Linked DNA regions of Oryctolagus cuniculus. The protein of the gene in region 2 interacts with the protein of the main gene of each other region in a pairwise test. Links are inferred from orthologs where the notes say so. Each region holds a gene or a part of one and is shown on either strand. Other genes may lie near its edges. The genes, in order: ANP32B and KPNA5.

What was found.
Region 1: the proteins of KPNA5 (region 2) and ANP32B interact in binary tests that used the Homo sapiens proteins (3 or more experiments, as listed by UniProt). The two-hybrid records come from large-scale screens. The link is inferred for Oryctolagus cuniculus from reciprocal best matches to the Homo sapiens genes KPNA5 and ANP32B.

What each region holds. Positions count from the first base shown.
Region 1 is NC_091432.1:201,785,810-201,790,300, reverse strand, and holds the start of ANP32B (acidic leucine-rich nuclear phosphoprotein 32 family member B), read right to left. Parts: upstream 3,056-4,491; 5' UTR 2,698-3,055; coding exon 2,644-2,697; intron 1-2,643. UniProt on the Homo sapiens protein: Multifunctional protein that is involved in the regulation of many processes including cell proliferation, apoptosis, cell cycle progression or transcription.
Region 2 is NC_091436.1:53,689,887-53,693,689, forward strand, and holds part of KPNA5 (importin subunit alpha-6), read right to left. Parts: intron 1,979-3,803; coding exon 1,847-1,978; intron 1-1,846. UniProt on the Homo sapiens protein: Functions in nuclear protein import as an adapter protein for nuclear receptor KPNB1. Binds specifically and directly to substrates containing either a simple or bipartite NLS motif.

The DNA.
Region 1 (4,491 bases), on a different chromosome or scaffold from region 2:
CAATCTTGGCTGGCTCCCAGGACACTAAAGGGCTTTCTAACACCCCCCGCCTCACCCCCACTTCACAGGCACCAATGTGGGCGCCACAGGCTCCAAGGAGCTGGAGAGAAGGCACTCTTGTCCTGCCCTGCTGGCTTCACAGACCCCGGCATCCTGTTGGTGGTCAAATATTCAATAAGCCAGAGGGTTCTGTGGCCCAGTGCCGGCCCCTCTGGCCACTTGTTGCTCTTTGAACAGTAAAAATGGGGCAGGACCAACGACTGGCCTAATTAAAACTTTAATAGTCACACGCATCTTGGCAAGGTGGTCAAAAACTAAACTGATTACTTGAAAAAACTAATACTTTCACACACACATATTTTTAAAGCTATACTGCTCCATATGAGAAAGGGCACCATGGACTGGGAACAGCAGTGGCACTTATTTAGCAGAGAAAACTACTTGCTCCGAGCGTTTTAGCAGGCTTTTGGTTTGAGAATCCAGAAATTTAGATTTTAAAGACCTATGTCTGGGCTGGTGCCGCGGCTCACTTGGCTAATCCTCTGCCTGCGGCGCTGGCACCCCGGGTTCGAGTCCCGGTTGCTTCTCTTCCAGTCCGGCTCTCTGCTGTGGCCCCAGAAGGCAGTGGAGGATGGCCCAAGTGTTTGGGCCCCTGCACCTGCATGGGAGACCAGGAGGAAGCATCTGGCTCCTGGCTTTGGATCGGCGCAGCGCCGGCTGTAGCGGCCATTTGGGGGGTGAACCAACGGAAGGAAGGCCTTTCTCTCTGTCTCTGTCTCTCTCACTGTCTGGCAGAAAAAAAGAAAAAAAAAAAAAAAGACCTATGTGTGCACCTTTCTTAGGGGGAATTTTGGCTAAATTTAGATACTGTATTGATTCCCAACTTCCAAGCAATAATGGAAACTCTGGCGTTAAGCCCTCCAGGTGAGAACGAGCTCTTCAAGGTGTCTAACCACGCAACACGCAGCACGTGGCGGGCACAAAATGTCTGACTCGACCCCGACACCCGCCAAAAGGCCACCCACCCAACTCGGGGTTTCAGGGCGCCACCACGCGCGCCCGCTGACCTCAAGGCCTGCAGGTAAACAGCCCGGTCGGCCGATCCCACCAAGTGTGCAACTTGCTAACCACAGCCACCTGAGCACCCGCCACGCGGCCTCCTGCCGCCAGCGACTCACCCGCCGCGGGCTCGGGCGGCCGCGCGCCGCCTCTCCACGCGGGGGCTCGCGCTCGCTGCGATACAAGAGGCGACGCTCCCGGGCCGGGCCCACGCACACGCAGCAGCGGCCCGAGGCCGGCCGCGGCAGGCCGCACCCTGGCACGTGCGGGGGCACAGGCCACCGCACGGCCCTGCGCCGGCCCCAAGACCGCGCGAACGCCCGCGCGCCAGGCCTGCCGTTGCCCTTTTAAGAAGGGGGGAGGGCGCCGGCAGCGCGCCCGCGAGGGGACGAGTCGGCTGCAGCCGTAGCGCGCGGCGACCGCCAGTGCGAGCCGAGCCCCGGCGGGACGGGACACACCGAAGGCTCGGCCCGGGAAAGCGCGGCGGGCGAGGGCGAGCGGGCCGCGCCGGAGCTCCGAGCCGCTCGGCCGGCCGCCTCACGCGGCGGAGGGAGACGGGCGCCCGCCAACATGGCGCTGTGGCGGCCTGTGGCGCGCCCGGGCTGGCGCGAGCGGCCGCCGCCCGCCCACACCGAGGGGCCAGCCTCCCGGGGCAGGGGCCCCCGGGCTCCGCGGCGGCGACTGCGACTGCGACGGCGGGGGTGGGGAGGGCCCGGCCGCCGCCACAACGCCTGCCCGTGGCCCGCCCTGAGGGGGCCGCAGGGAGGATGGCTGAGGGCGTCTCAAAGGAGAGCGAGGGCAATGGGGGAGAAAGTTTTATTTTTAGGCTTGAAAAATGGCGGGAACCGCGTCCTTTTTTCAAACTTGGCCTCGGGAGGGGCGGCGGTTGCGCCACCTCCGCCGCCCAGGCCCGCCCCTCCCCCGCTCCGCGCGCCAGGCCGCGCCCGCCCGGGCCCCCCAGCGCCCGAGGGGGCTTCTGGCCCCCTTCAAAGGAGCAGAGCCCCCTTGCTCGCCCCCGCGGCCCCTGCCCTCGGCCGGGCCGACGCCAACCGCGAGGCCCGGCCGGCGCAGCCCCCCGCCCTGCCCGCCGCCGGCTCCCGCTCCCGGGGCCGGCCCGGGGCGTGCGGAGTCCGGCGTGGCCGGCGGCGGGCCCAGCCGGGGATGGCCGCGCGGCTCCCGGGCAGGCCCGCCTCCGCCCGGCCGCGCATCCCGGGAGGCTGCAAACATGGCTCCCAGCGTTACACAACCCCCCGCCTCCTTCTCTCGCCGCCGGCCACACGCACACGCGCTCCCTCCGGGAGAGGACCCCGGCGGGCGAGGAGCTCAAAGTTTGCGCTCCCTCACCCCGTCGCCTTCCCCGGGCGGCCGCGAGGGCCCGCGGGCGCCAAAGAGTTAATCCCCGCGCGCTCGCTCCCCCCCTCCGCCCGCGCCCGCCCGCCCGCCCGCCTTCCCCGTCCCAGCCCGCGAGCTGCGCCCTTCCCCGCGCCGGAGCCCGCGAACCCGCGGCCCGGGGCCCCCGCAGGTGGCCACCATTACATGCAAGTCATCGGGGGGGAAAGGGCGCCCGACGGGGGCTCTGCTTACAGCTGCCGGGGTCCGGTTCCTCAGCTCCAGGTGGATCCTCCTCTTCATGTCCATGTTCCCCTCTTCCCCCCTCTTCAAACTTAACTTTCCGCGGCGGGGGCGGAGGGGGGAGAGGCGTCCCGGCCTGCGCAGCGAAGGCCGTCGGAAGGGGGTCTGCTCGCGGCGGAGGCCGGCGGCGCGGTCCCAGGCGGCGTGCGGCGTGCGGGCAAGGCGAGCGGAGCCCCCGGAGCCAAGTTACTCACGGGAGCGGAGAGAAACCATGGAGGGAAAAGGGGGCTGGAGCGCAGCGCTGCTCTCACTACCGCCGCCCCCGGCCGCGGCCTCGCACTGCGCTTAAACCGGCGACGCGGCGCGGCGGCTGCTCGGCTCCACTCGGCCCCGCGCGGCGCCGCTCGGCTCCGCGGCCGCGGCTGCTCCGAGGACGGGGCGGGGAGGCGCGGCGGGAGGGCGGGGCGGGGGCGGGGGGAGGCGCAGCCCCGGGGAGGGGAGCGACTTCCTCCCTCCCTCCGCCTGCACGTGGGGCGGCTGATGTAAGACCTTGCTCGGGGGCTTCTCCGCCTGCCGCCGGGCCGAGACCCCCGGCCCGCCTCGCTGTGCTCTGCGATGGGGTGGGGCAGGGCTGGCGGGAGGCCCTCCTGTCGGGGATCGGGGGTCGCGAGGGGCGAGTCGGTCCGCGGAGGCTCCCCCGACGCCCGCGGAGGCGCGAGATGGGCAGAGAACTCGGCGCGGGGGCCTGGGGGTCGCCCTTCCGTTCCACCCCCTCCCCCTGCACAATCGGGGGCCGACGGCCCGAACCCTGGCGCCTCCTGGGCCGGGTGGCGTCGGACGCGCAGCCCAGGACCCAGGGGTGGGCGGCATCGCGGCGGGCCCGAGCTGCAGCGCGTGGCAGCGGGCGGAGTTGGCCCCGGGCCCGGCCGCCTGCCTCAGCCTCAGAGCCGCCGAGCGTCCCCCCGCCGCGGAGGCTCTCCCTCGCTTTTCTGACATTTTGATGCCCGAGAGGACTTCCGAAGGAAACAATGAGCATTTCCGCGGGGCGGCGTGGGGGGTGGGGGGGGCCTCGCAGTTACACCGTTCTCCCCGCTCACGTCTAGCGCAGTTACAACCTAGGGCCCCCCGTGAGGCACGCCGAGTCTCGGTGGTATCCATTTTGGTGACGCCTGTCAGGCCGCCTTTGTCATGCTCCGGCTCCAGGGGTCCCACGGTTAGAGCCCCAGGTCCGGGCCGTAGAGTTATACTCAGCAGAAAGTAAATAAACAGCATGGTATGTGCAGTCGGATACCTTCTTATTTCTAGTGTGGACAAGAGGCAGTTTTTTACAGAAAAAACTCCATGCATTAACTGAGATAGTTTTATGGGACTGAAGCCCCTTCCCCCGTGGTTTTACCCAAGTGGCAGACTATAAATAGCCCAAACTTAGTTTTGAAGCAATTACATATCAGTTTTTATGATAATGAATTCTCATTTCAAGAGGACGTTTTAGAAGGATTACGGAAAGAGGCGAATCTTCCCAGTTGGGAGTTTCCTCCTCTCCTTGTAGTCTCAGCCACACAGCCGTGGAGAGGGAAAGTGGAGAGGGGTGTGCTCCTCGGGAAGGCACCTGGGGACCTGTCATTGGGAACCAGGCAATGAGGGCTTTTATCAAAAAATTACAGGCAGCTACCAAGCATGCACCTTTAGGGGCTTGCTACGTTCTTTCTCGTGTTATCCCCTGACAACCCTGTCAGGCAGGTGACCCTTTCATCATGTCACCGATGGAGAAGCGAGGCCCAGGAACCGCAAGCAGTACCCCCACCAAGAGGTGGAACTAGGCGGGTCTGGTGGGTCAAAGCTGCACCATCAGTCTGGCTA
Region 2 (3,803 bases):
TATTTTAAAATAGTACCTTAAATAAAATGCTTTCTCTAAGAAGGGAATTTTAATACAAAATGAACAAAGCAATAGTTTTCAACAATATATGAAATTAAAAGCCAGGGCAATAAGAAAAGAAAATCTACAAAATTTAATTTAATATTATTTCTAATGAAATTGGAAGTGAGAGTATTTTTAAAGTTTTCTTCCAAAGCAGTGGAATGTCAGTACTATTCAACAAAGTAAATTTGTCAACTCTGAATCCACATAGAGAGACAAAAACCATCTATCTGGTCAATTTTCCAATTACTTATACTAGAAATTTGCCAAGAACTTCTCTTATTAGAAGAGACTGTTTCGGGGCCAGCACTGTGGCACAGAGGATAAAGACACTGCCTGCAGTGCCAGCATCCCATCTGGGTGCCCACTCGAGACTCAGCTGCTCTGCTTCCAATCCAGCTCTCTCCTATGGCCTGGGAAAGCAGAAGATGGCCCAAGTCCTTGGGCCCTGCACTCGCGTGGGAGACCCAGAAGAAGCTCCTGGCTCCTGGCTTCAAAACGGTGCAGCTCTGGCCATTGCAACCAATTGGGGAATGAACCAGCAGATGGAAGATGTCTCTCTCTCTCTTTCTGCCTCACCTTCTCTCTCTGTGTAACTCTGACTTTTAAATAACTAAATCTTAAAAAAAAAAAAAAAGAAAAAAAAAGGGACTGTTTTGTAAAATAACAAAAGTAAATAAAGACAAAGAAAAATGAGGCAATAGCTTAGATTGATCCTGAAAATAAATTTAGGATTAAGATTTCACTATATGTTTTAAAACGAATGACAGCAAAATGTCAAATTATTCACTTAAATAAGAAATTTTGCAAATTATCATTTTAATATATTTTCACTTAAATATTTTATATAAATACAAAAATACATGTTATTTCTTCAACTGAGAAACTTTAATTTTAACATTTAAAACATGAGTTAATATTTTTAACATCTACTCTAGTAGAACTAAGCTTGTCTTTAAAGTAAACATACTATCTACCCCATGAAGTATAATAGATTGCTGATGGAACATTACTTAGAATAATATTGTTGGTCAACTTTGGAGGCTACTAAGAGTCTTAAGAAATTTCTATCTTTTGACAGAGTAGTCATTTTCCCTAATGAACCAATATAAAGGCACATTAAGAAAGATAAATAATGATGGATAAATAATGATGTTCATCACTTTTCCTTAAGAATATGACGTTAAAAATAACTCAAATGTACAACAATTGAGGACTAGATAGAATATGGTACATATCTAAGTGGATTTATTAATTAATCAGTAAAATTTTCTTGGAAGAATAACACCAGAAGAAAGGCTTCCAAAACAAAAGAAAGGCTTAAAACAAAAATGCCAATACTTGATTTTCTTAGAAGAGTACAATTATATAATACTAAATTTTCCCTCGTAACAAATTTATTCATGAATTTTATGAAAATGGTTCTATTAAAAGTAAAATGATATTTTAAAAGTAACAACAAAATAATCCACATACATGCAAAGAATAAGGAGTCAGTTTAGCCCCGGTTTAAAACCTGGTTCAGCCATTCCCTATGATGGATATGTTACTAACTTTTCTGTGGCTCAGTACTGTGCTTTATAAATAGGAATAGTAATTCCTGTGCTAGATGAGATCACTTACAGGGAATCCAGGATTATGCCTCAGACAATTCATTGCTCTTACAATTATGCACTACAAAGAAACTACTATATTTTAATAAATGCACAGTACAGGCAATTAGATACAAAAGTGGAATATAATCATAAATGGTACTTTGAAAATTTAAATATAGCTCATAAAACAGTATAAATTAGAAACTTACTTGTTCCTGAACATCTTCATGTTCTGAATTAAGAAGTTTGATAAAAATTGGAACAGCCCCTGTTTCAATCACTACTTTGGTATGTAGAAAAGTTCCGGATGCTATGTTAGTTAATGCCCATGCAGCTTCAAACTAAAGAGACAAAAAGTGAAATAAATGAAAACACCAAAGAAATATCAGAATGGAAAAGACTAAAGATTTAGTTAGACAAATCTAAAAGAAAGACTGATTTTGATTATTCAGATTCACTGTGAAGTTGGATTTCCTATATAGAAACTCTTAATTAAGAAGTGTTTTTTCCGCCGGCGCCGCGGCTCAATAGGCTAATCCTCCACCTAGCGGCGCCGGCACACCGGGCTCTAGTTCCGGTAGGGGCGCTGGATTCTTTCCTGGTTGCCCCTCTTCCAGGCCAGCTCTCTGCTGTGGCCCGGGAAGGCAGTGGAGGATGGCCCAAGTCCTAGGGCCCTGCACCCCATGGGAGACCAGGAGAAGCACCTGGCTCCTGCCTTCGGATCAGTGCGGTGCGCCGGCTGCAGTGCACCAGCCGTGGTGGCCATTGGAGGGTGAACCAACGGCAAAGGAAGACCTTTCTCTCTGTCTCTCTCTCTCACTATCCACTCTGCCTGTCAAAAAAAAAAAAAAAAAAAAAAGTGTTTTTTCACTCTGGAAAAAAAAGAACTCAGAATATAAGGAAAATATAAACACATTTGAATTTATACTTCAGAAAACTGCTTATTATTGAGAATCAAGTGTTCTCCAGCAAGTAGTTTATATAAATAAGATATATTACTTTTTTATAGAAAGCTTTTATTTAATAAATATAAATTTCAAAAGTACAAATTTTGGATTATAGTGGATCTTCCCCCTATACCCAGCCTCCCACCCCCAAAGCATCTCACCTCCTACTCCCTCTCCTATCTCATTCTTCATTAAGATTCATTTTAATTATGTTTATACACAGAAGATTGACTCTGTATTCAGTAAAGAGTTCAACAGTTTGCACACACAGACACAGAAAATATAAAGTACTGTTTGAAGATTAGTTTTACTGTCAATTCTTATAGTACAACACATTAAGGACAGAGGTCCTAAATGGGGAGTGAGTGCACAGTGACTAATGTTGATTTAACAATTGACAGTCCTATTTATGACGTCAGTGATCACCCAAGGCTCTTGTCATGAGCTGCCAAGGCTATGGAAGCATCTTGAGGCCACAGACCCCGACATTATTTAGAACTTAAACTGATCACTTTAGAAGCCGGCGCCGTGGCTCAATAGGCTAATCCTCCACCTTGCGGCGCCGGCACACCGGGTTCTAGTCCCGGTTGGGGCGCCGGATTCTGTCCCGGTTGCCCCTCTTCCAGGCCAGCTCTCTGCTATGGCCAGGGAGTGCAGTGGAGGATGGCCCAGGTGCTTGGGCCCTGCACCCCATGGGAGACCAGGAAAAGCACCTGGCTCCTGGCTCCTGCCAGGATCAGCGCGGTGCGCCGGCTGCAGCGGCGGCCATTGGAGGGTGAACCAGCGGCAAAAGGAAGACCTTTCTCTCTCTGTCTCTCTCTCTCACTGTCCACTCTGCCTGTCAAAAAAAAAAAAAAAAAAAAAAAAAAAAAAAAAAAAAAAAAAAAAGAACTTAAACTGATCACTTTAGTAAGATGGCATTGGTACCCGCCAACTTAATAGGATTTGGAGTACCATGGCAAGTTTTTAGCTTTACCCTCAGGGTTAAGTCCAAGGGAACATGTGCCAAACTGTACAGCTCCTCCCTTCTTATACTCGCTTTTATTTTGAACAGGGATCAATTTCAACCAGATTTAAACACCTAAGAATACTTCCGTGTTAAGTATTTCTTTCTAAGTGCTCAGTTAGTTGTCATAGATCAGGGAGAACATATGATATTTGTCCTTTTGGGACTGGCTAATTCCACTCAGCGTGCTGCGCTGTTTTTCCAGATTCCTCC